Linked DNA regions of Nothobranchius furzeri. The protein of the gene in region 1 interacts with the protein of each later gene in a pairwise test. Links are inferred from orthologs where the notes say so. Each region holds a gene or a part of one and is shown on either strand. Other genes may lie near its edges. The genes, in order: eef1g, klhl18, ilf2, ech1 and get4.

Region 1 (5,897 bases):
ATACCCAAAATGCACTAGATTCCATAGACATTTTCAGATTAATATATGCATCCAATTAAACTAAGCACATTTCTGTAATACACCACCCATATGTAAAACTAGAACTTCTGATGGCGCTGCTCACTACAAATCTTTACCTCTTTGGCAGATGTGCAAAGGGATCCTTTGCTTTGGGCTCTGCAGCCAAAACAGCATCACAGTCATCCATCTCCTCCTCAGGATCAGGCTTCTTCTCCTCCTTTTTCTTTTCTTTCTTCTCCTGGGGTTTGGCTGCCTCCTTCGCTGCCTTTTCCTTCTTGGCGGGGGCCTCTTTCTTTGGCTGCATCTCAGCAAACTTCTTAGCTAGTCAGAAGAACAGTTATCTACTCTTAAATCAGTTATTTACAACCATCTATGAACAAGGACGGTAGACTATTAGTGATTTATTTTGACTGGACAAATAAGAACATCTTAAGTCATACTACAGATCTGTAAGACCAAACTGATATCTGCGTTAAGTTTCAACTCGCAGTGCAGGTCCTTCTGACATCCTTTGATTACGAGTTTATTCTGAACTCACTGTTGAGGACTCACCATCAAACTGAGCCATCTTCTCACACAGCTTGACTTCTCCGAGAACTGCCTTGAACTGGGGCTGGTTTACACAGGTGACAAACCAGCGGGTCACGTTGGGATATGGCTGACGGAAGGAAGGTTCCAAGACCTACAGAGCAGAGAGGTTTCAGCTCTTCCCGAATTAAATATTAGAGATCAGGAGTGTGTGATTGGGTGCTTTGTGAACATCAAACCTGTTTGTAGAGCCAGACCATGGAGCAGGCCACAGTTATGTCTGCTAGGCTGACGCGCTCCCCTACAAGGAACGTGCGGGTGTTCAGATGTTGGTTCAGCAACCCGAGGACCTTCTTGATGTCCTCCTTGGCCTGCTCAGTTGCCTGTATGGACCAAAGAGACAGTTAACTTTAGGCAAAAACAAACCACTGGAGTCAAATATGATAAACTCCAGCCTGCAGCTTAAGCCGGGCGTACACTGCGACTTTTTCACTTTTTTGAGCAGATTTTCCACTCGTGCGAGAATCCACAAGATCGGGGCGAGTGTTGCGCTGGTCGTCGTGTAGTGTAAAGGGGGTTACGAGAGGCGATCAACACCACGTGACCAGCTACCGATCAGCAATCATGAGCTTGCATGGACTCCTGGAGTGTTTGATATTTTGCTCGTTCCACGTGAGGGTTGAAGCGGCGCAGCGAGCGGCTGTGACCCAAAAAGTACCAGAACCGCTCAAGGCGCATGAGCAATCATGCATCAACATCGCTCGCCCGCCATTTCCCTAATAACACATGTTAGTTTTTATTTCAACATGTTTTTTTTTTTTTTACATATAATGACAAGGATTGTCAAGAAAGCGTGTTTGTCGTGTTCATGTCAAATTAAACCGATCACAAAACACAGATTAAATTTATTTCGTTTTCCTCATCCAACCCCCATAAATCCCTGTGTGTCCTCCTGCAGCACTCCCGAAGGACAACAGGCAAAACAAGACAAAAAAGTCTGACGTGTAAAAACTGCTATTTTTAGCATATTTTTAGGTCCGACGTGTTGCTACCAGACGTACAGTGTGAGCACATGGCTCGTGAGATCTGCCCTGCGAGGAAGTCGTACAGTTCGAGCTGAAGCCGAGTGCTACGAGTGAAAAAGTCGCACATTGTCCGCCCAGCTTTACGCTAAATCACAGTTTAATTATAGAACTGCAGATCTGCATACCTGCTTGTTGAACTGCATGATTCCCAGAGTGGGGAAGACCCATGCGCTGGCTGGAGGGATGATCTCAGAGTCAGCAAAGCTCACCCACTGCAGAACCTGAGCAGCTGCCTGAGGCGTGGCACCACGCAGGGCCTCATTGCTCACTGGAATTACAGAGCAAAATATTTGCCAGTTACTCACATGTACACTCTTCTTTAAAGGTTCTACACCCTCTGAAAAAGGTATCAGCTTGTAGGAATAAAAGAAAAATGTTTGAAATTGGCCTTTCCATCTTATTTCAAGACACACTAAGAGGATCAGCAAAAAATCCAAACACCAAAGTCTCAAGGAACACTTCCTAATTAATTTTGTAGAACTTTTAAAAAGTGATCCCAAATGATTTGCACATTCACCCAAATGTCTAGAGTTCATGTGTGAAAAGGACTTATACAACGGTAACCTTTTAATTTAAAGTAAGACTTACGGTAGTGAGCAATGGCATTACTCTCAAACAGACAGAACCCGTCATCCCCCTGGTAGGCTGGCACCTGTAAACAAGGACAGAACTTAGGTTTAGAATAGTTTGAAGGCACAGAAGCTAAAACCTGGACAAACGTGTGAATTAAACAATGTCGCCAAGAAAAATCCATTTTAAAGAAACCATTTCGTACGTATACAAGGAGCAACAACTGAGAGTTGTTGGCCAGTTTTTATACAACGAGGGAAACAAGTTTTTACTCACCTTGCCTAAAGGGAAGTTGTTGAGGAAGGCTGGGGTGCGGTTTGTCTGCCCGAAGGTGAAGGCAGGAGGGCTGCTGGCTACTTTGAGGCGAGCACCACTGTATTGGGCTGCAATCTGGGCCTTGAAGGCCCGCCAGTTCTCTGGATATGTGTATAAAGTCTGAAAGGAGAGGACATATATTAACTACATGGATTCTTCGAAGGGGGATAGGTTTAGTTAAAAAATGCTGTTTCTAACTAACAACAGAAATGAACTTAACAGCATCCAAAATTTAAAAAGCTGCCTTGCACTGATGCATAGAGCAGATATGGATCAGCTGGGATCTTTACCATACGTGTCACTCTGGGACAACAATAGCAACTAGGATCTGGTTAGGAATGTTTCTGGTTAATTAATCAAGTCTTCCGCTGAGAGTGAGCATTTCGTAAGGAGGAGTTTGCACCATTTGTCTGGTTTAATTCACTGGTGATAAATGGTTTTACCCACACTTATGAAGAATGGGGTTTTGTTCTTGTGGCTTTCAGCTTGATTTACACGCAGACTAGCTACCGACTCGGGTAATAAACTGTTCTAGAGCATTCTGAAATAAAAACAGACCGAACTTGGGCCTACATTTGCGTTAGCATCGGTGGGAAAACTGAAACTGTAAAAGAATGACTCGGAAATCTCTTAAGAGTGAACGATAACGTGGCACAACCCTGTTAGCAATCTCAATGAATTAAGAATAGCAAAAGCTAACTCAGGCTCAACGGTCCATCATATTTTAGTAAATAGGCCCTAAAACAGCCTGCAGACAGCTGGATGCTGCAGTTCAGTTAGGAACTGACGCCGTCAGTGTGCAGATGGCTCTGATTTCAGTCGGATTGTAGCAGCAAATCTGAATAAAAGCTCCATGACTGGCAATTTCTCCATCTTACTCACCCCTGCCGCCATCTTCAGGAAGAGAGAAAGAAAGAACGAGGGCGCGCGCCACTGACGTATTTACGGTCGTTAAACGTGCGCGTCCCTGAAATATCCACGTTCACAGTTTGTTTAAAGCCGCCAGATTTTGCCACGTTTCCAAACATTATTTAGCCTTTCGTTAGTCTGCTGTAGCGGGCTGCTGTTGCTCTGCTCTGGTGGATCAAACCTCAAAGACACAAACATATTCAAATGACAAACTTTATTACAGTTTAGATATAAAAACAATATAAATGGACATATGCAAGTACATCTTCTCCATAAAATAAACTATCACTCATGAGATGATCTATATACTGATTACCATAAACACGTTTATTTTTAGGTTTTTTACACCAGTTAAAAAAAACTGGAAAAAGTAGCTATGAAGTGTAGAAAAATATTGTAAAAGAAGACTGATGTGCTCCAGAGGCAAATCAGCTCACAAGACCTGAAAATTAAACAAAAAGGTGGGTTTATTAACCAGTGATTCACAGAAAAGTAAAAGTGTGCACTGAGTAAAATACATCTTTCCATGCACTATAAACGAACCACATATTTTTATTGAGAAGAATGTTTTTATGCAGGTCTAATGAGGAAACCAGCAAGCAGAACCATGAAATGTGGTCTAGATTAACACTCACCCAGATAGTCGTCCATGAGAGATCCAATTGCAAACTGAAAAACAAAGAGACAATTTTTTAGGCTTTCTTCTAAAACTAACATACATTTCAAATTTTGCATTGCCCAACATCTTACACACTAGCCTGGCCTGCCAGACTCCTCTCTGTGCAGAATTAAACAGAGGACGAGTCTGGCAGGCTAGGCTACTTACACACAATAACATTTATACTTGTTTTTGTTTCAGATACGCTGAAACTTCAGGTATGATGTCCAAAAGCTTTTTTTAGGCTTTTTCCAGAAGGGAAATGTCAAATGTGGCCACAAAAAGGAACAATGGTGCATCAGAGCGCTCAACATTTTGTTTTCGTATTCATAGCTCTCAGTGCCTCCTCAAAACCTTTCTTGGGAAACAGTTATCAGTGAATTGTCGCATTTAATTTAGGTAACCAAACTTATAAACAGGGATTGTAACTTTGTGGCCAACAAAATAGTACAGAGAAAAGGTTGTTGTAGAAACAGACAGAAACAAAGGGGAAAAAACTGGGTGGACAGAAGCTAAATCATGGAGACATTAGCAGGGGTGGACTGGCCTATCTGGCACTGTCCTGGTGGGCCACTTGCCCATCTTGGGCAGACATGCCCCCACTTCCCGCACGCACATTCAGCGGAATAGAGACAACTCCGCGAGCGCACCCCCCCCCCCCCCCCCCCCCCGAGTCTGGTGCTCCGCTGCTGTGGGACACAAGCCCCCACAATGCGGCTCAGAAATTGGTCTCAACCCGGAGGTACCAAAAATTGCAGTTCCACCCTCATCCGCTGGGGGCTGGTGTCAGAAGCGAGCAAATCCTCATCAACTCCCATGTTAAAAATACCACTATCACAGCAGAAATAAACATGTTTACAGCCTGGTACCAAAACATGTTTTTTGTTTAAATGATCTAGTTTATACTCATGACAACTCTGAGGGGGTGATTTTTTCTCACTCTTCTGTTTAAGTGTATTAAAAGCCTAAAATTCTGTATAATTAATGAGCATCAGACCCACGTGACCACAGAGCTAGCTCCGTGGAAAGGCCTCAGTAGAGCCTCGGCCTGGCTTGGAAACTGCTCCGGGATTTTGAGTCTCTGTGTTTGTGTATTCTTTTTTGGATATTATTTGTGCAATTGTTGGACAAAATGACTTGCTGTGGCATTAATTGCACTAATAGAGCGTCCAAGGAGTCTCCGCTTCATTTTTATCGGTAGGTAAAATTATATTTATGTATTTTAGGTCACTGCCGAGCTGAGCTTAGATTTTAACATGTACTGTTTAACCATGAAATTTAAATGTAATAGGGTAAAACCCAGTGAATTTAACATAATGCTGCACTTTAGAAAATGAGTTGAAATATAACATGTGGGCGGAGCTGGGTTCCGACTATCGGCTTGTGGAGCTCTCGGGAGACCGACGTTTTCCACCCGGTTCTCCCCTCCCCGCAGCCCAGCGCATCTCTGTCTGATCGTGGCTTCTGTGTGCTGCGCGGGCTGCTGGCTTGTGGAGCTCTGGGATGGAAACCTTTCCACCCGGTTCTCCCCAGCGGCAGCTCTGCGCATCTCAGATCACAGCAGCGCTTGTCTGCTGTGCGGCTGCCGGCTTGTGGAGCTCTCGGAGACCTCTGTGTTCCACCCGGTTTTACTTAGGCTCCCTATTGTGAAAAGATTTAATATCCTAGACTCAAAGTCTCACAATCTAATCAGCTAATGAATCCAGAACACCTGCAACGGGTTCCTGAGCCTTTAGATGGTCTCTCAGTCTAAACTGGATTACTGATACAAATGGATTTTTGCACCATATTCTCATTTTTCAAGTTTTACC
Region 2 (5,988 bases), on another chromosome or scaffold:
TTTTTAAAAGATAATATTGTGACCTATTGTATGGTTTTTAGATATTACTTGTGTGTTTAAAAATCACCACAAACAGTAAAAATAAAAAGATAATTAAAGGTCCGCTGCCTGCCTGCCTGCCTGCCTGCCCCCTCCCTCTCTCTCTCTCTCTCTCTCTCTCTCTCTCTCTCTCTCTCTCTCTCTCTCTCTCTCTCTCTCTCTCTCTCTCTCTCTCTCTCTCTCTCTCTCTCTCTCTCTCTCTCTCTCTCTCTCTCTCTCTCTCTCTCTCTCTCTCTCTCTCTCTCTCTCTCTCTCTCTCTCTCTCTCTCTCTCTCTCTCTCTCTCAGTTGCTGTGCGAGCGAGCGGAGCTTGCGATGTGACAACCCGCTCAATTAACTTCATTCACGGCCCAAATCCAACAGAACCGGTCGGGCTGATTCGGTTCGGTCTCAGGTTACAACTCTAGCGCTCAGCCCTGCAGTACCACATTAAGGCGGAACCACTTGGTAAATGTGGAGGAGACTCACTCTGACAGATTTGGATACTGCACTGGTGGCACTGTTAAAAACAAAACTACAATCCACTCTAATCGATTATGGCGTACTCTTCTACGATGCAGAATCGTTTATGTCCACATCCCGATGAATCGATTATTTGATTATTTTCCTCAGCTCTAGTGATAGAACGTAAATAGACAGTTCAACGATCTCCAAGCTTTGGTAGATTTTCATCACTTTATAATCCTTAACGATCTTATATTGTCAGATCTCACGGCCCCAGTAAGAAGCATACTTTCCAGGAGTGATGCTGAAAAACTAGTTCATGCATTATTACATCAAGACTGGATTACTGTAATCCATTACTCTCAGGAAGTCCACAGAATGTAGTTAAAAGTCTTCAGCTTGTCCAAAATGCTGCAGCTAGAGTTCTGATGAGAATTAAAAGAGAGATCATATCTCTCCTGTCTTAGCTTCCCTACATTGGCTACCTGTTAAATTCAGAATAGATTTTAAGATCCTCCTTCTCACATATAAAGCTCTCAATAATCAAGCTCCATCATACATCAGTGATCTGATTGTTCCATACGTTCCTAACTAAACACTTCGCTCTCAGACTGCAGGTCTACTGGTGGTTCCCAGTATGTCTAAAAATAGACTAGGCTTAAAACATTTTTATTTGATAGGGCCTATGGTTAAAATCTGATGTCAGCCCAGATCTGGACAAGTGGGGGAGTAGAGGGAGGTGGAGTGTACAGTCGGTAAAGACGACTCTCCCTTGCCCTGCCTCCATTATGCCTCCATCTAAAAGGCTAGGTTATCCAGAGTTATCTCTGTAGTTATGCTGCTATAGGCTTAGACTGCTGGAGGATACACTGACCACTTTCCACGCTCTACTGCTTTCTTCTACAATCTGCTCTTTAACTGTATTATTTCCTGCAATTTCAGCTGTTAACTTTATTTTTTCTCTAAGTGTTTCCCCCCCCAGAAGAAGCTACAATGATGTTTTGCTGAGCTGTGGTGGCCTCATGGAGGGGGCCATCGGCTAGCACACTGCTGCTAATCACTTAAACATTCTCTCTCTCTTGATAATAACATTTTACTCTCTTTGACATGGTAAATGGTCTGTATTTAATACAGTGCATTCTAGAGTCCTGGAACCCCCAAGGCACTTCACAACAAGGTCAGTCATTCACCCATTGATACACCCATTCACATTCTGGTGTGGATGAGCGACAACCCGCCTTGCCTGCTGACCACCACCAGCAGGCAAGGCGGGTTAAGTGTCTTGCCCAAGAACACAATGATGGCGACAACTGAGCGAGGCTTGAACCAGCAACCTTCAGATTACGGGGCGATCGTCGCCCCAATGGAATGTGTTAGTATGGTTACCTGGGATCCATGCCTTGCATCAGGATCTCATCCTGTTTGCACTCCACCATGTCATTGGTGAACATGGCATGGAAGTACGGGATGGAGGCAGCCAGGACAATCCGGTGAGCGCTGAACTTATGATCGCCGACCTGCAGAGAGAGGACACCCACAGTTACCTCCAGGCCAGAGCTGGGTGGCAGAATCATAGCAGCCGCTCCAGCGTGGCGGCAGACAGCTGCTCAGTGTTTGAGTGTGAGGTCCTCATACATTCTGGCAGCAGAGGACTGAGTGTATGAGGACCACACAGCAGTATCAGTGAGAGAACAGGGAACAAAATGGAGAGAGAGAGAGAGAGAGAGAGAGAGAGAGAGAGAGAGAGAGAGAGAGAGAGAGAGAGAGAGATTGATATGACGGTGGGACTCCTCGCTGGCTGGTGCTTAAGCGGAGAACCTCTCACACCAGTGGTGTTCTGGTGCTAAAGACGTGAGTTTGTGATGAGTGGAGGACCCAGGGAAGGGTGGCGGTTCGGTGAGGCCAACATCCGGATGGTCCAGTGGTTGGTTTCGGTGTGAAATACGTTATTGGTGGAGATTTTTAAACAAATGCGAGAGAACCACACTTTTTGATCTCCATAATTAATTAACAGCTATGCTATGTTTGAAGGTTAAGAGACACGAGAAAATGTTTAATTTGTAGTAGCAGCTTTGATAGTTGGTTACTTTCATATTTTGTCCAGGCATGGGTGGAGACGTATTTCATCCACACTTCCTGTTCGGAAAACGCTTCTGAAAGAGGCGTGGCCTGGCGGACCGAGAGAGGCACTGATAGACTGCCACACTAATGATTACACATGTGTACTGCACCATTGGCATACATGGGCGACGGTGGAACAGGAGTTAAGTGCTCGCCCCGTAATCGGAGGGTTGCAGGTTCGAGCCCCGCTCAGTCTGTCGCTGTGTCCTTGGGCAAAACACTTAACCCAGTTGCCTGCTGGTGGTGGTCGGAGGAACCGGTGGCACCAGTGCTCGGCAGCCTCGCCTCTGTCAGTGCGCCCCAGGGCAGCTGTGGCTACATTGTAGCTCATCCCCACCAGTGTGTGAATGGGTTAATGACTGATTGTGTTGTAAAGTGCCTTGGGGGGTTCCAGGACTCTAGAAGGTGCTATATCAAATACAGGCCATTTACCATTTTACAAGCTGGTTAAGTTCAGCGTTTAAAACTGATAAGGGTCTGAAATGTTAGTGATAATCATCGACATATAAATATAATAATTCAGACAAAAGAAATCAGGATTCTGTTGTTTATTTTAGAAAACCCCTGCTAGGAGGTTCTGGTGGGTCCATAAACAATACTGAGCCTCCTGAGGACTTGTGGGTTCTTCTCCAGCTGGACCACCAGAACCTTCACTGGCAAAGCGCTTTAGAGTCCGCTGACTCAAGGCGCTGCGACTGAAAGTCACTTATCGTTTAACGAGTTGGGTCAAATTAACACTTCCGGTTTCAGTCCACCTGTGCTGCAGATAATTGATCATAACAGTAGGTGTTGTCTGAGCGTGCTGCCGACCACAAATTGACCTTTCACCTTCATAACCCCTAAGTATTAATATCGGTCTAAAACATTCGCATATGAGCGTCTTCCGGCCGGTCACAGGTCACGCATTTAACGTCATACCACCGATGTTAGCCTGTTAGCAACTTGTTAGCAAGCTGTTGGGTCGCGGACCGAGTCCACGCCGTCAGTGTTTACCTTAATCGTGACGTCACAAAGCTTTCCCTGACGTCGGATCTCCTCCATGACGACATAACCTCGCGCGGGCAGGTCGTGCACGGAGAAATGAACCAAATCTTCGAGCTCTTCGCAAAATCCGTCTCCCATCGTGGGCAGGAACTCAACCCTTCACAATAAAACAACTTCCGCTTCTGTAGTGATCTCCAAAATAAAGTTGATTTCAAACTGATATGAACGTCCGACCGGAAGTGTCTAACGTTCTGATCCAAGCGGATTTAAATGTTTTACAGAACCTGATTTGGAACTGCAATTTAAAGCCATTTAAAACATTTATTCTTGAAACAGATGACTTTACCAGACCAGCTTTGGCCGGGGTTTGGACTGGTTCTGTTCTGGGTTGGTGAACTGGGAAAACCCAATCAGACCAGAACCTGAAGTCTGACTTGGATCAGGTCAGAAACTGAAGCTGGAACTGAAGGTTTCCCAGGAAATCACGAACTTCCCATTAGCTCAGAAACGTGTCAATCAATTGCTGGAATGACGAGTTAACTCTCAAACATGAAGAAAGTTTCCATGGAAACAGGACCACTGAGAATCAGAGGAACACTGCGTATGGATCTAAACGGTTGAGGGAACCAGTCTGCTGGAACTCTGTAGCTGTCCCCGGATCAGGAGCGTTCTGAATCAAATAACCCAAACCCTATTGGGACATCAGAACTCCACAACCAACAAATGGTCTTGGGTCGGATCAGCGGGTCCTTGGGTCATTTTATTAGAAAATGTTTCAAAACAATCTGCAGCAGCATCCCATGAGTAAAAACAGCTGAAAAATCTTTATTTACATTTCACCTGAAACAGCCAAGCCGCACCAGAATGCACCTGTCCTGATGATCCACTTATTTCTAGTTCTGGTTTGGGTTCTGCTTTGAATTTGCTGCCAGAAAGAAATCCTGCTTGACTGCCGAGTGGTTAGGAACGTTCCTGTGGTTAGGGTGGACCCGCTCAAACCTTCTGCATCCTGCTCACCATTTTACACAAGTCAGACCTGAATTAGCTCCAGACCTGGTCCTGGGCTCCAGGAGGACGTCCCATCTGGATCAGCTGTGACATGAAACCACCATGTTCTGTTTGGACCCAGCTTCTGGGTGGACCTGGTGAGTTCAGCAGAAAGTCATGTGACGGTTCAGGAGGTGTCAGGGGCCAGTGCTGTGAGAAGAATGATGAGCAGGGCAGAAGTGATGGTAAAACGTGAAAGACAACCTGAAGAAGGTGTTTCCATGGAAACAAGACCAATAAAAACCAACCCAGTAAGAAAGAGGCCACTACGTTAAGGTGAAAGTTCATGGTGGCTCTACGCTGACAGGTCACTGCTGTCGAAGCGCTCCTGATCGTAGACCTCCGCCACCACCTTGCGTCCTCCGAACCAGCGGTTGTTGAGTGCCTGGATGGCTCGGTTCATCTCTGCCACCTCAGAGAATTCAACAAAGATCTTCACCACGATTTCAGCATCCTCCTCCTCACCCTGGCGCTCCTGGTAGATGATGACTCGCTTCACCTGCCCAAACTTTCCACACTCCTCCATCACCTCCCCCTCCAAGTCATCGTCGATATCTTCTGGCCCGACCATGTTCCTCAGAACCATGACAATGGACTGGAAAGGACAACAGGTTCAAAGGTCAGGGACCAATGATGCAGCTGACGTTTAACAGCAAAATTAGACTAAACAGCAGGAGGCTGATTCTGGTCCAGGCGCCGCCCACCTCCTGCTTCCGCAGCAGTTTCCTCATCACCATGTGTCGGGCGCTGTTGCCACTAATGCTCACATGCTCCTGCTCACTCAGGGGCTCCATGGCTTCATCTTGCTGCACCTCCTCCTCACGCTCCTCCTCTGTCTTTTTCTGCTCAGAACTGACTGATGTCTTTGCATATGGGGGAGTTGCCAGAACTGGGTTCACCAGCCCCACATGGGGTAGACTTGGACGAATGGGGGTAACACCTGAAATCAAAAAAAGAGCAGTGGATTAGGTAGGTGGAGGCAACAAGATAGGGGCAGAGCTAAAAAGCTATGTATACCTGTTATGACACCTGGGGCCTGGGCGGCCATGACGGCCTGAGGAAGTCCAAGCTGCTGAGAGAGGAGTGCTGGTCCTGCAAGAGCTCCAAGTACAGATGCTCCAACTGCCTCCTGAACACACCACCAAACAGGAAGTTACAGCCAGAAACGCTTCAGCGGTAGTACTAAAGTGGTACTATAGACGTTACTGCTGCTGGTACTACAGAAGTACCATAGATGTTACTGCAGCGGTATGTTTGTAAATATCACTTTTATTTAGCATCGATGGAACAAAGATTTTCGGTCGAAATTGACCCAAAAGAGCATTTTTGGTTCTCCGTTGAAAGATGTAAATGA
Region 3 (6,034 bases), on another chromosome or scaffold:
TTCCCTTCTACTCTTATTCTCTAGAAAAATGAACTGTTTCTAGCAGGAGTAAGCATGAAGTCCTACTTATCTTGTAAATACAGTATTCAGATTGTCATTGTGACCCCCCCCCCTTTTTTTTTATTAGGAACCAGAACTTTTTATCTACCTCCAGATTTACCTATGCCATTCCACTTTTATTATTTCTGCATGCATATTATGGGTCAATTCTTTTGCCATCTGTTATAGCAAACCCGTCTTTCAGGAATGCTCTTCTGCCGTTGTTTTGAGCCTCCAGCTCCTTGGGCCACAGCTTGATCCGAGCTTCCTTATCCTCTTTGGAGAAGTCCTCTTTAACGTTTATGTGCAGTTCTTTGCAAACCCTGGCCTCCCTGGATTTCCTCCACACTTCATCCCTTGCTGCCCTCATGCTAAACTGAACGATGATCGGTCTTGGCAGCTTGTTGTTTGCAGCGTCGCCCTTCTTCCCGATTCGATGTACTGTATCCACCATGAGCTGCAGCTTTTCCACTGACACAGGAATCACTCTCGTCAGGATGCCAATCACTCTATCCCGTGTATTTTCACCCTCTTTTTCTGCCAGGCCAAGTAGTCTGAGGTCCCATCTTCTTCGGTATCTTGAGTTTTCCAGACATCTTTCCTTCAGTTCTTTGTTTTCCTTCGTTAAAGCCTCCATCCTTGTTTTGAGCTTGTCTGTTTCCTTTTTGTTTTCTTCAGTTGCCATTTGCCTCTATCCTAAGGTCAAAAGCTTTCAGATTTTTGTCTAGCAGATCAAATCTTTCTGGAAAGGCCAGCAGGGCTTCATAGATGTTTTCATTGCATATCTGTTTGCCAGTAGCTTTATTTTTCAGGTTTTTTTTTTTGATTGGGGCTTTTTATTGGAGTGTGATCACCAGTGGGTCTTGCTGCTATCTGTTGATGCTCCATCTCCTCAATGTCTTCGTCCGCACATGCTTCCTTCATTGCCGCAAGGTTGTAGTCATGGTCGGAAAGACTACCTATTAGCGCCGCCATGTTAGTCATTTGATTTTTTGTGTTTGCTACTTTATCTGTCCAATAACTCTTCAAAAACATGTTCCACAGGTACCGATTTCCTTTCAATTTCGTTCTGAATAACTGTTTATCAGAGAATTACTTCTCAGAACATTTAAAACCCACCGTTTTATCAGACCTGCCAAGTTTCCAGCACCTGCTCACTCTGCCATCTTGAATTCCCCCTCATGCACCACTAAACAACAGTGCTAGAGGAGAGCAGCTGTCCGAAGTAAGATGGCTGCCGCGTACGGACGTCAGGGTCCATTGACGAACAGCGCAGGTGAGAATCAGTGCATCTTTTGTATGACAGAATGTGAAACTATTGAGCACCTTTTTCTTCTCGTGTTCAGTAACACTTGGTTTTGAGGAGGATGTTTATCGATTGGTAAATATTGAGAGAAATGATGTAATCTAAAGTACTGATATACATGGATGCTCTTCCAAAAAAGATATCCAAAATGGTGAACATTACCAAATACATAAGACTAAATGGAAAAACAGCAAGCCTAACATTAATCATTTTAAAAATTAAATAAAACAATTTACAACATCTCAAAGAGTATTTTCAGAAAATAACCAATCTATAACTGAGTTGTGCGAAACAATGTCTGAGTTTCTTGTTCTTTAAATTACAGTCCAATGAATCAAACATGTTTGAACTATAATGCTGAAATATCAACCTCTGAACGTTTTTTGTTTGTTGTTGATGTTATTTTATTTTTTGTTTTAATTATTATTATTTTGCATCATAATTTATTTTATGGTAGTGCCATGCGGTAAATGTTGCAAGTTCTAAATGTCATTTTTATTTTCCTCAAGTGCGGTCATTTGTATTTGTTATATTCTTCAGTACGTTGAATGTAGGTTACATTGTAAACTGAATGTATGTGAAAACGAAGATTGAAATAAAGTTAAAAAAGAGACTTGACCAGAAAGACGTGAATGAATAAAGTTACGCTATGGCAGCAGCAAAAAAATATACCAATAAATAAAAAAAACAGCGCATCTAGCTATAATATGTGATATCTATGCGGTCCACACTCCATTCCAGTTGGGGGCGGTAATGTACCACGGCGTTGGTGACGTAAAACAGAAAGAAAGAAACAATTCCGCCGGAAACAGAAGTCTCTTTGTGCCACACTAGTCCCTTCCGCAGTTAGCCTCCGCTCATTCATTAAACCATATCAAACCGTTCTCCCTGTTTTCTCTCATCAAACCATCAAAACGTCGTACGCAATGAGGTAACGCTGACTAACCGGACCTGGTTGTGTTGGCTTTACGCTAACTAGCCTGTAATCAGTGTCATTAGCTGTTAGCCATTAGCTCGGTATAGCTTTCTGTTAAAGTCTCGTTCTGAACGTGGTGTTACTTATTTATTCCTCCAATAACAGTGTTACTGATAACTCTTACGTTTTATCGACAGCAAGTTAACACTGAGGTAGCGAATTAGGACTATAACACACGTGTGTTAGCTAAGATCAGCGTTTTTATTTATCCTTTAGTCTGGCAGTAGCGAGCGCACTGGACTGATCTGGGTTTTGTGTTTGTGAACAGAGGAGACCGCGGCAGGGGCCGAGGACTCCGCTTCGGAGCCCGGGGAGGCATGGTCCAGGGGTGAGTACCTTACTGATCTCTGTTCCTGTTCCATACTGGTTCTTTCAGTCAGGTCCTTGATCTGGTTGTAGAAAGTATCTGACAGTTAGTCTTAAGTTTGCTGGTTCGATTCCTGCTTCTGGATGGAACTCGGACCCATAAGCCATCAGAGTAGAAAAGTCTAAGTGAGAAAGATCTTCAGAAGTGGAAAAAGAAGCCTCTTGTGATTACACAGGACGACGGCACTCTCCCCAGAACATCTCCAGAAGGACTTCTTCAGAGCAGTTAGATCTTTCCATCCTGTCTGAAAGCAGCGTCCTGTTTCTGTCTCTTTAAACTTCATTTTTTCCCAAATGAAACAATCCATTGATTTCTGGATCCTTAAAAAGCTGCTGTAAAGTCTGGAATCATCAGCTCATGTTGTGCGTGGTCCTGGTGATGAAGCTAAGACGGATTGTTGGTTATTGTGCTGAAGCAAAAAGAACCGCTGCCTTGGTTATAACTGAAACCTCCAAATCATTGTTAAAATCTACTTTTTGGGTTTGAACATCAGCTTTCATAAGGTCCCGGTCAGACGTTCTGGTTCTGACTAGTAGGGACATTTGTGCCAGTCCACCGATTCTCCGTTCTTCTCTCTGTCCCGCTCAGGTACCGTCCTTTTGTCCCGCACATCCCATTTGACTTCTATGTGGTGAGTTCACGCATGTGACAGACAACAGAACAGCATGCAGGAATAATCAGTAACCATGGCTACAACTAGCATCTGGTAGAATCCGGTCCATTTTGTGGTTCTGAAGCAGACTGTTGTCCTTCCCCAGTGTGAGATGGCCTTCCCCAGAGTGAAACCTGCTCCTGATGAGACGGCGTTTAGCGAGTGTCTGCTGAAGAGGAACCAGGACCTGAGCCCCTCACCTGCAGAACAGGTCAGCTAGGTATTCCAGTTCAACACCTCACTGGTCTCATCGTGCTGTAGGTTACTTACCTGACGTCTTCATTTCCTTCTGCTTCTAGTCTTCCATCTTGTCTTTGGTCACAAAGATCAATAATGTCATCGACAACCTGATTGTTGCCCCTGGTAGCTTTGAAGTGGTGAGTGGTGAACATCTGACCTGTAGAGCTGCCATGTTTACTGAAACTGGTGTAAATGAGTTGGTGTCAGTAAGGCTGTAATGATCTGTGTTTGCTGTCACGTCCTAATCTGGGATTAAATGTTTCTCTTCCGTCATGACCTTCCTAGACCTCCCACAGGCTGAGCTTTATGTAGCTGAGCGGTTTTATCTTTTAGAACGCATCAAAGCCATCCCGCATGCTTACGTTATCTGTCCACAGCAAATAGAAGAAGTTCGTCAGGTGGGTTCATACAAGAAGGGAACCATGACAACTGGACACAACGTCGCTGACCTCGTTGTCATCCTCAAGATCCTCCCTACACGTGAGTCATTGTTCATTCAGACCAGCCCTGGGTCCGTCACTAGGGCCTCATCCTGCTGGAACAGCTTCAACAGATGTTCTGGTGAAACCACTGAGCACATCTGGACTCGTGTTGGTAAATACATGGCTAGTCCCATCATGCAGCCCGACCGGACCGGCTATCCAGCAGCTAAGCTGTTTAGCTTTAGCCTCTTTAAGCTTAACAGTGATGACGAAACTCGTCAGACCGTACAGGAACTCGAGAACAGAAGTGTCTGAATCCTAAATGTGTTTATGAGGCAACTTGGTGTCATTTAAACCCCGAATACCGTCGGTAGAGTGGTGATTAATACTGAGTCCAGTGTTAAACACCTGGAGCTAAAGCTGACTCTGCTCTTCATGTTTAATCTAACAGTGGAGGCAGTGGCTGCGCTCGGGAACAAGGTGGTGGAGACTCTTCGCACCCAGGACCCCGCAGAAGGTACGGGGGTGGGTCTGTGTGTGTGTGTGGGGGGGTGTATCTGCAGCTCTGGACCTTACCTAAAGGCTGAAGTTGGTCAGAGTGCCCTCAAGAAACAGAGTGAGCATCTTTAGTGAGTTAATGATGTAATAAACACTAATGGTGTGTGTGTGTGTGTGTGTGTGTGTGTGTGTGTGTGTGTGTGTGTGTGTGTGTGTGTGTGTGTGTGTGTGTGTGTGTGCACCCGCGCTTTCAGTTCTCTCCATGCTGACCAATGAGACGGGCTTTGAGATCAGCTCAGCTGATGCAACCGTTAAGATCCTCATCACCACTGTCCCGCCCAACCTACGCAAGCTGGATCCAGAGCTGCACCGTATGATACACACACACACACCCACACATGCATACACACACACACACACATGCACACACACAGACACTCGTTTTTTAAGGACTTCTCCGTTTTAAACGGTTCTTTCCACTGAACCTTTGATCTCTAATCTGTACAAGTGGTGTGAGTGTGTAAGACGGTGTTTGGGTAGCCTCTGGACCGTGTGTGTGTGGGATGACAGAATCGTTGTTGGCCATATTTCTCAGATTGTTTGGCTGCAGCAATATTATTGTAATGATGTGACTAGTAAAGTTTTAAACAGGTCATTTCAGGTCACCGTCGTTAGGCTGTGAGAGGAGTTAACGAGCTGTGGTGGACCAGAACCGATGCTAAAACGCAGCGTAGCTATTAGCTAATGCCTCATGCACCAGAAACCTGGGTGGATGAGACGGCAGCGTCTTCAGCACCGTGATGATGTCAGTGTTTCTAATGAAACCTGCATCCATGAACACTGACTCTCTGTTCCTCCAGTGGACATCAAGGTTCTGCAGAGCGCCCTCGCCGCCATCCGCCATGCCCGCTGGTTTGAAGAGAACGCCTCTCAGTCGACGTGAGCTAGTCTTCATTAGTGTGCGTCACGGATATGACCTTTCACCTGAACTCATTTCATCTTTCTGACTTTCAGAGTAAAAGTCCTGATTCGCCTTCTGAAGGACCTCAGGTTGCGCTTCCCGGGGTTTGAACCTCTGACTCCGTGGATCTTGGACCTGCTGGTGAGTCCAGGTTTCACCTGTGGCCAGAAGATCCACGGATTTGTTTATGATCAGGAACGTTTCTGTGGAGTCGTCTCTGGTGATGGTGTGCCTCTGTCCACAGGGCCACTCTGCAGTGATGAACAATCCATCCAGGCAGCCTCTGTCCCTGAACGTGGCATACAGGTCCGTCCTCTTGTCTCAGTCTTCCTTTTTATGAGAATCTAACGTGACCTTTGACCTGTGCAGGCGCTGCCTCCAGATGTTGGCTGCTGGGCTCTTCCTGCCCGGGTCCGTGGGCATCACTGACCCCTGTGAAAGTGGAAACTTCCGAGTTCATACGGTCATGACGCTGGAGCAGCAGGTGTGTGGTGTTCTCCGCAGCTGTTGGAGACAAAGAGACCGACCCTCTAATAACAGAGCTGTGTGTGTGTGTGTGTGTGTGCAGGACAT
Region 4 (5,922 bases), on another chromosome or scaffold:
AGTAATTCTTGCTGTCTTAATTTATTTTTTATTTCACCAAATGATAAAATCAGCTTAACACACCTTAACCTGAAACCAGGCATCCTGGGTGCAGAGACGAATGTCACAAGCCGTAATCAGGTCAACACCTGAAATAAAATAAACATTAATATTGAACTCATTGACTAATTTTCTTCTACTAAAATCAAATTCATGAAACTTACATTTCAATCATGCTAACTGTGCGTTTTCTATCTTAAAATTAGTGACTCAAAAAGAAACAAAACAGTGGTTCAGTGTTTAAATCTGTTTATGCAACAGGTGAATCCTATAGGAAGCACAAATCATGGCTTCAGCAAGTTCGTCTCAGTTTTAGTATTTTATCTAAAGATACTTCTTGGTGAACGTCACTTGAGAATTTCTTTTGTGCCCTACCTCCTCCAATACAGGCGCCGTGAACAGCCACCACAACAGGCTTTGGACACTACAAGCAGATAAGAATAACTTCATTAACATTCCTGCGTCATTATTTGTCCAATGCATGTGATGAGGAGCTCTGACCTTCTCTATGACGGAGAACGTTTCTTGATATTTGGTGATGGTTTTTCTGAGGTTCCAGGAGATTCTTGCCACGTCGTCGCCTTTCGGCTGGAGGATATCATTGGCCATGTCCATCAGGTCAAGACCTGGACATCAACAGAGCATACGGAATAAGCGCAGCTCCGCTGATGAAACTGGCATTAGTTGTGACCCGAAACACACCAGCTGTGAACATCCTTCCTGCTCCTGACATGACCACCACCCTGCAGTCTTGGTCGTCTGCAATCTCATTAAAACAGTCCACCATCTCACTAAAAAATAAAAACACAAACACTATGTCAGGGCTGCTTCAACTATGGATGCGTTTGCAGCTAAGTTTCCGTTAAACTGGATTATTATTAATGTAAGTGATTAAATTTTATTTGTGTGGCACTCCTCACAGACAAAATCACAAAGTCATTAAATCATAGTCATCATAATGATGTGTGATGTGATTTTAATAAAATTATCCAAATAAAAGATTAAATTTAGATGCTTAAACCAAATATTAATGACCTCAAAGCAGAAATCCAGAGCTTTACCCTTTTCAGGAATTCTGTATGATTTTTTTTTTAGTAATCCGTAAAAGGGATAGGCTTCCCCTGTTCTGTAATATAATGTAAATGGAAAATGGCCTGTATTTGACATAGCGCCTTCTAGAGTCCTGGGACCCCCCAAGGAGCTTTACAACACAGTCAATCACCCATTCACACACACATTCACACGCTGGTGGGGATGAGCTACAATGTAGCCACAGCTGCCCTGGGGCGCACTGACAGAGGCGAGGCTGCCGTGCACTGGCGCCACCGGTCCCTCTGACCACCACCAGCAGGCAAGGTGGGTTAAGTGTCTTGCCCAAGGACACGACAGCGACAAACTGAGCGGGGCTCGAACCTGCAACCTTCCGATTATGGGGCGAGCACTTAACTCCTGTGCCATCATCGCCCCTAATGACGATAGGCAATAGTCGAGGTTATTTATCACTTGTAAGTCGCTTTGGACAAAAGCGTCTGCTAGATACATAAACATTTTGTTTTTTGCTAAGCCCACCTGCCCTATAGGCTCCCATACAATTTGAAATGAACTAGCCAATAGCGTTCGACATCTGCTTACGTACAAATGTCAATCACAGAGTGCGTGAACACCTGACGAATCATAGAGCGCAGCTACAACTGCCTTTTGAGGGACTAAAAATACAGAACAGATTGCCTACTTCTACTCAGCGAGTGAATGTGTGTGTGTGTGTGTGTGGGTGAATGACCGGATGTGTTGTAAAGCACCTTGAGGGGTTATACGACCCTAGAAGGCGCTATATAAATCCAAACCATTTACTCGAAGATAGACAAAAGTAAAGAAAAGCCCATGGACTAAACGATCGAGTCGTTTCAACTGTATCATGGAAGCAGGGGGAGGGGCTTGAAGTTGCAATACAATTCTGCCTGTAGATGGTGCCCTCTGAGAAAAATGGATTTCTGATTTATGATAGCATTTTAACTACTCTGCACTGCCTCCTTACTGTATTGTATACAAGCTCTAAAGCTATTATTTCTATATGTAATATTTTAGAAATAAATCTATAATATGTGTGTCCTTATGCATATGTGTGTCTAGATAAAATACATCTTAAAAGTTTTAAGAAAATGTGTGTTTCCTCAAGAAAATTGGCATAAAAACTATTACATGACTTCACTTGAAGAAAAGGTACCCCAATGTCACGGAAAAAAACACACATTTTGTATATTTATTGCTATAAAAATGCTCACCTCCAGAAAGCTTTGTTCATGGCGTTTCTCTTCTCAGGTCGGTGAAGTTCGACATGTGTGAGGGACTCTACTGGGCGACTGATGGCCAGGGTCGTGTATGGAGATGTGGGTCCATCTGAAGATGACATGTTCCTGACCAAAGCCTGAGCAGGCAGCCACAACCTACTGTCTGAAAAGGAATTAAACACGCTTGTGTTTATCTACATTAGGTCACTGATGTATACTAGCTAACCTGCTTTAGGGTGGGCTGTAATGCAAAAAACAGGATCAGGTGACTTGTCACCAAATGCTGCAGAACTGTTGTGTAAAGGGCCTGATAGCATTAAGATGCTTATTATTATGAAAAAATATCCAAAGTTTAATTATATATAAATACATATAGTTTGCAATATTTTGCAGCACCTCACTTGGTCATACATGAATATTACAGCTATGATCAAAACGACTGTTTAATTTCCTTTTCCATCAAAGTAAATCTGAATAATAATAATAAAACACCAATTTCTGTTAATTCCATGTACATTTTTTTATTTAAAGCATTTTAAAGGAATTTCAATCACCTTACAGCTGTAACCCTGCAAAAAGAGACTTAATTGTGAAATAAAAGTCTATATTGTAGACATGCTGTGACATTTGTTAACGCAATGCAAATCAGTAAAAAGGTTAGATACTCAGTATATTTATGCTACAACCTCAGTTATAACAAAAGTATATAAAAATACGTTAGAATGCGTGTCGATTAAGCAGCTACCTTTCACCTACAAACCTCTCCAGGCTTTGTTCATCTCGGTCAATTTGAGGGTTAAATACAAAGTAGAGCTAGTACTAATGACTAACATCCAAACAAACGTGCACATCATGTGACAAAAGAAAACATCTGAACTAAAACAGAAACACAGAAAAAAGGTTAATCCGTTACTTACATCTGGGGAGAGTTGACCTGATACTGACTGACAACATCGCCCTTTGAACGCTGCAGTCGGGAAGCTTTGGTGAACGGTTAAACCAAAGCAAACTGGCAAAAGACTAACGACGTCTAGCTAACCCTAACTAGTAACCAACAAGTTGGCTGGCTTGCCAAAACTCTTCACTGCTTCATTGGTTAGCTTCCAAATGACAGAAAGACTGCTTGACCGCTTTAACCTAAATCTACATGAAATAAGAGGAATGTTTAAAGCAAAAACTGGCCATAAATGTTAACATTTCGCTCTCCTGATTAGCTTAGCCTCTCTAAATTGGTTCTACGGTAGCCGAGTTGGCGCAAACGCTCCAGAAACGCTCTCTTTCGTCACTGTGACGTATAGAAAAACTGGACGAATCCTATGCCATATATCCATTTTACTTATTATTATTAATAAAAGACAATGACAATAATAATAAAATGTACTCTGTTGTTATTAGTTTTACAGTAGCCTAGGTTTGTAATTACATATAATGTCCATTACAATAATGTGCTTAAAAACTGTACTATAAACAAAAAAAGTTAATCATTCTAAGGTTTTAATTTCCTCCTTTTTTTTTTTTTTTACCTCTTTTTACTTTCCAGTTTGAATTTATTTTTAGTCAAAGTGCATTATCTTCTGGGGCACAATCTGATATTTTCATTTGTTAATTTGACAGCAGTTTTTATTGTTTTTTTGTTTCACAACTTTTTAAAAGTGGCTGCTTGAGGGCTTCCAGTTATAAATGTCTGATCATTTCATATACAAACACTGAATGTGGACATTCTTGGTTTTTAAAAGAATGTACGCAAATGGGCAGAGATTTTTGCTTGGTGCCCACAACAGAGATCAGAAAAGTGCAAAGCCATGAACATATCTTCTGCTGAAAGTAATTAAGCGCAGATTGCAGAAACTAATAAATAGAAATTTACTCTTTAAATTAAGCTTTCAATAAATGAGTAACATTAAATTTAGTATAAATTAGGTGTGAAAACTCAACAGGAAATAAACTACATTAATTATAATGTGCTCAAATCTGTCCCAAACAAAGTCCAATAATATTTCGGATCAATTTTTTAAACATAAACAATATAATGGGTTGGCTCACATACAGTTTAATTTAAACTGAATTTAGTTCAATTTAATCTTTAAAATGAGCTTTTAATCTATAGTTTGATTTATTCAACAGACCAAACAATAGCTTTAAATTCAATATTCTTTGAGAGATTTGTGATTTTTTTAAAGATATTTCTAACATATAAATGTTAAATAAAAATGACTTTTTCATGTACAACATATTTCCATCATGAGGTCTCAGTAGCTGTTCCAGAGTGTTATTTTTTCTCATCTGTGGTTATTGACCTGTAAATGAGTATATTTTTATTTTAAAAATAAATTAGTAACATGAGATAAAACATTAAATGACAGAAAATCCTCAAAATGACTATCTAGTAAAAATCCACCTCCAATCCTTGGAATTTGTTTGGTTATTAACCAGATGTGGAACATGTTCCCTCAAAAACAAAAGTTAGAGTAATTAGATGAATAAAACACACTGGATATTAAGAATGATTTTATTCATTCAATATATAAAACATCACTAAAATAGAAAAGTTTTGATCACAACTGATCATAAATAAAAATTGACAAAATAATTAATACAAATATTTCCAAAAACAGAAAAACTAAAAACTTTTTGGGCATTTAAAGACACATTTTATGTAAGAGATTTTATTTGTTTGCCAAACCTGTTTGTGAACCAATGAAATCAAAGTTAAAGACTGAGGTAGACATGCAAAAGAACAAATACATTCATGTTCAAGAGGTAAAACACGGACTTTGTCTGGTTCTGTCTCTGGGGTTGATCCAACATCTCAGACATTTCAGATGGAGTCAGGGTAGGTGTTAAGGATTTGATCACAGTCAAAGTTTTCTAACTGATCTTTAGAGATGCCTCTCATTGATTTGGCTGCCCATTCAGGATGGGCAATGGGTTCTGACCAGTGTTTTCTGGAGGAAATAAGAGTCAAAGGAGGTACCACGGAGGAAGGGCTGCATCTTAAAACAGTAAAGATTACAAAGGCGGTTTCCTGGACTCTTGCATAGAAGCTGAATCAGCGAAGAGTTAAGAGCTTTTTAGTTGCTTTAAATGTATACATTAGAATTGAAATGTGTTTCTGTGTAAAAATGTCCATCTTATGCAAACCATTTCCTGTAAGTCCTTTGTTTGGAGAAATCGAGTTTAAGTCCAACAAGATTGATCAGCCACTGCCTGGTCTTAATGTAGAGCCAAGATCAAGATCTTGAACTGATCATTAAAGTACAAATTCGCTGAAAAATGTATAATACATGTTCGTAACAAGTTCTAGTTCAGAGCAAGCGTTTATAAAGAGGTTAGCGAGATCCAGCTTTTATTTTGGTAACCAATTTCCGCCTATTGGCAAGCGAATTTGCATATTAGCTAAATGTTTGCCGTCGTCGTCGTCGTCGTCTTCCTCCGCTTATCCGGGTCCGGGTCGCGGGGGCAGCATCCCAACTAGGGAGCTCCAGGCCGTCCTCTCCCCGGCCTTGTCCACCAGCTCCTCCGGCAGGACCCCAAGGCGTTCCCGGACCAGATTGGAGATGTAACCTCTCCAACGTGTCCTGGGTCGACCCGGGGG
Region 5 (6,080 bases), on another chromosome or scaffold:
ATGAGCGACTGGCATTGGTTGCTGTCACCTGTTGTGATTGGTTAAAGCAGCTCTCTGCTGTCTGAGGGCAGGCCACGCCCACAACGCCCCGGCTGCTGCGGCTCCCAGTGTTTTCTTTACTGTGGGAAATGAGTAATAATGGCTCTTTGATGGGAAAAGGTTGCCGACCCCTGAACTACAGCGTCATCAACAATGGTGGGAGGAGAGAGAGGTACGCTTTCTAGCTGGAAATATAGTCACTATTTTGAGTTTGTATCAGCTAAAGAAGAAAATATTAAGGTTCGTTGTACACTCTGTGCTGGCTCTGTGTGTTTTATTTTTTATGAATACTATTTATTTTAAGTGAGGTCAAGAAAAACTGTTTTTATTTTATTTTATACAAACAAGCATTACGTCAGGCAATAGGTTTTAAGTTCAACTTAAAATGTAAGAAGATACGTTGTTGACATTACTGTTAAAAAACATTTGCAATAAAGTGAGTGTTGGCAAAACCTGTTGTAGTTTTTATGTTGAGGCAGTGGAGAGTGTTTTTGATAGATGCTGAAAGTAACTAATAAAGTAACTCGTAATCTAACTTAAGGCGCTATTAAAAACCTTTGATCTTCCCCTGAACCGGCAGTGCGCCTTTTATACATGTATTAAGGTAACTCTGGCCCAGCACGGTACCCCCCAGCGCCGTCCTCATCACCCTCACCTAATAAAAGGTGTGGCACTGCTCCACACAGCTATACCGGTAACCAGCCATGGCACCAGCGAAGAGACACACTTACGAGGCAGAGTTCAAGCTCAAAGCCATCGCTCACGCCGTTGAGCATGGAAACAGAGCAGCAGCGAGAGAATACAAGATTAACGAGTCGATGGTCTGCAAGTGGAGAAAGTTGGAAGACCAGCTGCTGCAGGTCAGTCAGTCAGTCAGTCATGCCGTTACCAGAGTTTAAATCTTCATTCTTGCTGCTAAAAGCACCCGTGCATTAAACTGGGCCATTTATGTTACTTTAATAATGAGAAATTTATTTTTTAGTATAGATAATGAGTGGAGTAACGTTTGACTTTGATCTAATTGCCCAATTTGCCTTAATTGTGCCGACCGGGACGCTTGTTTGCTTTGCTGGGTGCGTGTTTTGATCCAGTGAGCCTAATGTGCGGACCAAACCTTTAACTAGGACGCTGATTGGCTGTGCGCCGTATAATCAGGTGAGCCTTATGGTGCGGAAAATACGGCAGTTACTTTTTAAATGAATGAATCAGTAAAGTAACTACGTTACTTTTGGAAGGAGTAATCAGTAGTCAGAAATCAGATTACTATTTCAAGGTAACTATGGAAACACTGCTGACAGAGGCGTCAGGCTGATGAGCACAGGTACCACCGGTCTCTCTGAATCCCACCAGCAGGCAAGGTGAGTTAAGTGTCTAGCCCAAGGACACAACAGCAGAATTCTCTGTCCAGAGCCAGGATCGAACCTGCAACTGTCTGATTACCAGACAAGTCGCTCTACCTCCTGAGCTGCTGCTGCCATATGAGGCTGTTCCTCTCCACTTGCAGGATTAAAGCCATAAAAAACACACTATTGCACTTCTGGAACAATGCAGGGAGTAAACAAACCATTAGGTAACTTCTTTTGATGTAATCTACATAGATATGAAATCGCATTGCTGCAGTAGTCTTATTTTGAGAATTACCAGGGGTTTTACATTGAAACCGTGTGCGACTTCCTGTCTAGCCCTATGCTAACTGTGTAAATTGTTGTGTCCCAGATGCGGCTTGCTGCAAAAATAGAACCCATCCTATCTTTAGTGGCATGGCCAGCTGCTTCTGGGACGCGCTTGAAAATTTCCGCATAGTGGCTGGTTTGAAACCCCCCCATAGATTTTAATGTCTTCTCATTTGAAGCAGCGACAGTCCGTGCCACTGATGCTTCCAGTGTGAAGTATGGGTGAGTTTTCAGAGGAGGCAGGTGTATGTTAATTGGATCACATAACGATACAAGACCAAGCTTGTCTTGGCAAAACAATTTAACCTTTTTGTTGTTGGTTTCATTATTTTAGTGATTTCTTAAATCGAAGTTCAAATAAAAATGTGATAAATTGTACAGCTCTATTGTCACATAATGAAAAGAAAGCAGATCAAAATCAACACAAAAGACTCAGTAAGAGTTATTTTTAGACACAATGAAAGCTCGAAACCCACCTAACATTTCATCCTCAACTTTAGTATCAGACTTCTCCAAAACCTCCAACACCAGCATGGAAAGATCTGCTGCGCTGTTTTGCTGTAAAGTAAACCACAATGAACTCATGTTTGGGGCAGCATTATTGTCACAGAACGTACTGTAATCGGTAAACTTAACCCAAGCCACAAGTCAGGCTGTACAGTTAAAGTTATGGTTAATTCAGCAGGCAAAGATCAAAACTGTAAACCTGACAGCTGTTGTGTACATGCTAATTTCTAATGAAATGCAATTTTAAACATGAAATCTGCGGATGTTCTAGTCAAAAACGTGGGTGTGGTCTGTACCTGGTTGTAGCTGAAGAACAGCAAAGCACCGTTGTACATCAGCTCCCTCGCCTCTGCATGTTTTCCTTGTGACATATACCTGATGGAAGGCAAAGGGGAACGGAGTCGTGCACTTAAAGACAATCTCCTAAATCTCCCTAAGGCCAAATGACCATATACATCTGATAAAGTAAACGATAGGATTGTGACAATCAAGAAACGGACGGAATTAACTGAAAGAACATACATTTGAGGGAAATTGGCTTTAAACTGGGAGCTTTCTCGACAGCTTAGTACGTTTTTCAAGAGGGAGTAAGCAGTTAAGTCAGACCACAAAACTAGTATTCTACCATAGTAGGGTGGGATATGACATAGTTTATGGAATATGATATAGAAGTGAAATGCATCAAATCAGTCTGGTATAGCTCAAAATAAAACAAACTGTTTAGAAACACGTCGTTATTTCGTATTTTACTGCGAGGAGATAGCAGAAGGCTGCTTCCCACCTAGCGAAATGCTAACGCAAATGAACATGAATGTACTCGTTCACATAACTGCATTGTAAACCAACGAAAACAGTTGGTCGCTATTTTCAGTTTGTTTTCAGTATACATTTCATGATTAATACAGCCAAAAATAAGTTATCGTTGTCACATTTTACTCACTCTGCTAACAAAAAATTTGCTATCATCAGCTCGGTACTAGCGGTATCATTACGGTAAGCCAATAGCAATTGTTCTTCTAAAGATAGAAAGGATCACTGTCCAATCAAACACAAGAACCATCAAGGGAAGGCGGGACACAGAGCGAATACAACCAATCACGTACAAGCACCAGTCAAAGGTTTGACAGCGGAATGATCTGGAACAGGCCGGCCTGACCGTAACTACAAAAGCACATTAGAACGAACATATTGTGAAGTCTCACCTGAAAAATAAAGTTCTATACATTTGGTGGGCTTCATAGTAATCTCCCTTTTCTACGCTTGCTCGAAGCTTCCCTTCGACCCTCTGAACGCCTCCTCGGTTTCTAGCACTGGAGCACCTCAGGGACTCGGGCTCCGCCATAGCGATGCCTTTAGCAGCAGCAGCGACTAGCGAGAAGGTCCTGGCTGCGGCTCGTAGCAAGGGGCGGGGACGGGGCATACGGAGCAACTATAACATCGATGACTCTGACGACTTAGCCTTGTTCTTGTAGAGAGGCACTAAACTGAGAGGCACTATATTAAAAAAAATGTTTGTTCTTCGTATTACTTTTTTTTTAAATTGGACTGACTCTTCACAAAACAGCACACCTGGATGAACTGGGTCAATCATCACTGCGCCGCCTACAGGTTGTGCAGAACAGCGCAGCCAGGTTACTGACTGGGACCAGGAAACGGGACCACATCAATCCGGTTTTGCCCTTCCTGCACTGGCTTCCGGTCTGTTATCGTTCACACTTTAAACTCCTCGTCTTTGTTTACAATTTCTTCCAGGGTAGTGCTCCCCCCTATCTGGCCACGCTCCTGAACAGACATTCCCCATCACGCACACTGCGCTCCTCTGACCAAGGCCTGCTCGCTGTCCCTCGTTCTAGGTGTCGTACTCGTGGGGACCGGGCTTTCTCAGTCATAGCCCCGTCACTCTGGAGCCAGTTGCCACCCTCAGTCAGGCTATCCCCATCTCTGCCAGCCTTTAAGAGTCGCCTAAAAACCCACCTCCTCCGCTTCGCGTTCCCTGAATATGTTTGAGTTAGGCCTTCATTTATGTTAATTTTAATTCCCTGCTTTCATTGGTCTCTTTATCTCTTGTTTTACCCATTTGTTTTCTACTTTAATGTTTTTACCTGTTTTTCTCATGTACCGTGTTCAGCACCTTGGGCTTCGCGACAGGGTCACGAAAGGCGCTTTATAAATAAAGCTTGGATTTGGTTTGATTGATACGAGATACGTTGCTTGATTTCCTCTCGGAAGAGGTTTCTTTTGTCCGAATGCAGCAGAAAGGCATCTTGGTGCATGTAGGTAGAGGAGGTATCCAGAACTAGGAGAAGGATTAGAAGACTGCTTTCCTGGTTGACACCAAGGTCAATGATCTCATTATCACCGGATTCAGCATCAAACTCAGATCATACGCCGTGAACGGGGAAGAGTCCCATGACCTGGATGTCAGCTCCATAAAGCAACAGATGGCTGATTTTTTTTACAGACCAAGGGAACTGAGTTGGACTTTGGGAATATTGAGAGTTGCCACACTCTGTCCAGAAGAAACAGCAGAGAAAAAACAGCTGTCATCATGAAGGTTTGACATAATTAACCATGATTAAACCAGCATGACATCAGGGGGAAATCACTTGACTGGTTTAAAAGTGAAGCATCCATCCATCCATTTTCAGCTGCTTATCCGGAGTCGGGTCGCGGGGGCAACAGCCTAAGCCGAGACGCCCAGACTTCCCTCTCCCCAGCTACTTGGACCAGCTCTTCCGGGGGAATCCCAAGACGTTCCCTGGTTAGCCGAGAAACGAGGGCCCAATCTCAATACTCACACTGCGCCCTGCGGTCTTCAGCAAAGTGCACTTGGAGAAAGTGCTCAGTAGGGTTCGAGTGCGTAGTACACAAGTGTGCAAATAATTGCCGAAATGAGACAGGGAGCATTGCGTCATCGATTGCGACGCATGCCTTGTGCCGGTAGCTGTGAAACTTTTTTCAAAAACCTTTATTAACAACTTTCAAACAAATAACAAAGCAATTATTTGAAATAAATTTAACTTCATTGTTGCTTAAGTTCTAAAGTCCTAAAACGAACTAATTTTATTAGAAAATACATGTTTTCAGAAAAGGAACTTGAGCCTTTTCTCCCGCAGCAATGACTTGTGGGTAATACCCTTGCCCGAGGTCCGCATCGCTGCAAACTTGGATGAAGTGCAGATTAAGGGTGCAATGGGGGCGTGGTCAACTTCCGCACTTGAGAATCGAGACACCCTTCGCACTCGCACCCCTGGCCAGGAACGAGCAAATAAAGGGTGCCAGTGCGAGTATTGGGATTGGGCCATGGTCTCTTCAGTGTGTCCTGGGTCTTCCCTTGGGTCTCCTCCCAGTTGGAGGTGCCCGGGAAACCTCATCAGGAAGGCGTCCAAGAGGCATCTTAACCAGATGCCCTAGCCACCTCAACTGGCTCCTTTCAACACGGAGGAGCAGCGGGTCTACTCCGAGCCCCTCCCAGATGACTGTGCTTCTCACCCTATCTCCAAGGCAGAGCCAAGTCAGCCTGCGGAGAAAACTCATTTCGGCCGCTTGATTTCGCAATCTCATTCTTTCGGTCGGACGGTGGAAGGAATACTTTGAGGAGCTCCTCAATCCCACCAATGCGCATTTCGAGGAGGAACCAGAGCTGGGAGGCCTGGGGATGGACTGTCCGATCTCGGGGGCAGAAGTTGCTGAGGTAGTCAAACAACTACACAGCGGCGGAGCCCCGGGGGCGGATGAGGTTCGTCCTGGGTATCTTAAGGCTATGGATGTTGTAGGGCTGTCATGGTTGACACGTCTCTACAACATTGCGTGGTCATCGGGGGCAGTTCCTAGGGAGTGGCAGACCGGGGTGGTGGTCCC

What was found.
Region 2: the proteins of eef1g (region 1) and klhl18 interact in binary tests that used the Homo sapiens proteins (3 or more experiments, as listed by UniProt). The two-hybrid records come from large-scale screens. The link is inferred for Nothobranchius furzeri from reciprocal best matches to the Homo sapiens genes EEF1G and KLHL18.
Region 3: the proteins of eef1g (region 1) and ilf2 interact in a two-hybrid assay, tested with the Homo sapiens proteins (2 studies listed by BioGRID and IntAct). The two-hybrid records come from large-scale screens. The link is inferred for Nothobranchius furzeri from reciprocal best matches to the Homo sapiens genes EEF1G and ILF2.
Region 4: the proteins of eef1g (region 1) and ech1 interact in a two-hybrid assay, tested with the Homo sapiens proteins (2 studies listed by BioGRID and IntAct). The link is inferred for Nothobranchius furzeri from reciprocal best matches to the Homo sapiens genes EEF1G and ECH1.
Region 5: the proteins of eef1g (region 1) and get4 interact in a two-hybrid assay, tested with the Homo sapiens proteins (2 studies listed by BioGRID and IntAct, with this or other methods). The link is inferred for Nothobranchius furzeri from reciprocal best matches to the Homo sapiens genes EEF1G and GET4.

What each region holds. Positions count from the first base shown.
Region 1 is NC_091741.1:90,858,660-90,864,556, forward strand, and holds the start of eef1g (elongation factor 1-gamma), read right to left. Parts: upstream 3,503-5,897; 5' UTR 3,414-3,502; coding exon 3,402-3,413; intron 2,640-3,401; coding exon 2,481-2,639; intron 2,287-2,480; coding exon 2,223-2,286; intron 1,903-2,222; coding exon 1,760-1,902; intron 933-1,759; coding exon 789-932; intron 704-788; coding exon 574-703; intron 343-573; coding exon 138-342; intron 1-137. Other genes in the region: polr2g (DNA-directed RNA polymerase II subunit RPB7), read right to left, coding at 3,857-3,870, 4,064-4,097. UniProt on the Homo sapiens protein: Probably plays a role in anchoring the complex to other cellular components.
Region 2 is NC_091751.1:33,737,487-33,743,474, reverse strand, and holds the start of klhl18 (kelch-like protein 18), read right to left. Parts: upstream 4,094-5,988; 5' UTR 3,726-4,093; coding exon 3,597-3,725; intron 2,000-3,596; coding exon 1,869-1,999; intron 1-1,868. Other genes in the region: poly(U)-binding-splicing factor PUF60a, read right to left, coding at 4,930-5,229, 5,339-5,574, 5,652-5,763. UniProt on the Homo sapiens protein: Substrate-specific adapter of a BCR (BTB-CUL3-RBX1) E3 ubiquitin-protein ligase complex required for mitotic progression and cytokinesis.
Region 3 is NC_091751.1:23,257,184-23,263,217, reverse strand, and holds the start of ilf2 (interleukin enhancer-binding factor 2 homolog), read left to right. Parts: upstream 1-2,118; 5' UTR 2,119-2,271; coding exon 2,272-2,276; intron 2,277-2,589; coding exon 2,590-2,649; intron 2,650-3,276; coding exon 3,277-3,319; intron 3,320-3,446; coding exon 3,447-3,551; intron 3,552-3,639; coding exon 3,640-3,717; intron 3,718-3,957; coding exon 3,958-4,060; intron 4,061-4,453; coding exon 4,454-4,519; intron 4,520-4,754; coding exon 4,755-4,871; intron 4,872-5,360; coding exon 5,361-5,439; intron 5,440-5,514; coding exon 5,515-5,602; intron 5,603-5,705; coding exon 5,706-5,767; intron 5,768-5,830; coding exon 5,831-5,945; intron 5,946-6,029; coding exon 6,030-6,034. UniProt on the Homo sapiens protein: Chromatin-interacting protein that forms a stable heterodimer with interleukin enhancer-binding factor 3/ILF3 and plays a role in several biological processes including transcription, innate immunity or cell growth.
Region 4 is NC_091753.1:47,223,950-47,229,871, forward strand, and holds the start of ech1 (delta(3,5)-Delta(2,4)-dienoyl-CoA isomerase, mitochondrial), read right to left. Parts: upstream 3,515-5,922; 5' UTR 3,282-3,514; coding exon 3,245-3,281; intron 2,491-3,244; coding exon 2,322-2,490; intron 831-2,321; coding exon 742-830; intron 666-741; coding exon 541-665; intron 464-540; coding exon 415-463; intron 129-414; coding exon 64-128; intron 1-63. UniProt on the Homo sapiens protein: Isomerization of 3-trans,5-cis-dienoyl-CoA to 2-trans,4-trans-dienoyl-CoA.
Region 5 is NC_091756.1:28,101,608-28,107,687, reverse strand, and holds the start of get4 (Golgi to ER traffic protein 4 homolog), read right to left. Parts: upstream 3,672-6,080; 5' UTR 3,640-3,671; coding exon 3,422-3,639; intron 3,410-3,421; exon of another isoform or gene 3,186-3,409; coding exon of another isoform or gene 3,160-3,185; intron 2,595-3,159; coding exon 2,516-2,594; intron 2,271-2,515; coding exon 2,189-2,270; intron 1-2,188. UniProt on the Homo sapiens protein: As part of a cytosolic protein quality control complex, the BAG6/BAT3 complex, maintains misfolded and hydrophobic patches-containing proteins in a soluble state and participates in their proper delivery to the endoplasmic reticulum or alternatively can promote their sorting to the proteasome where they undergo degradation.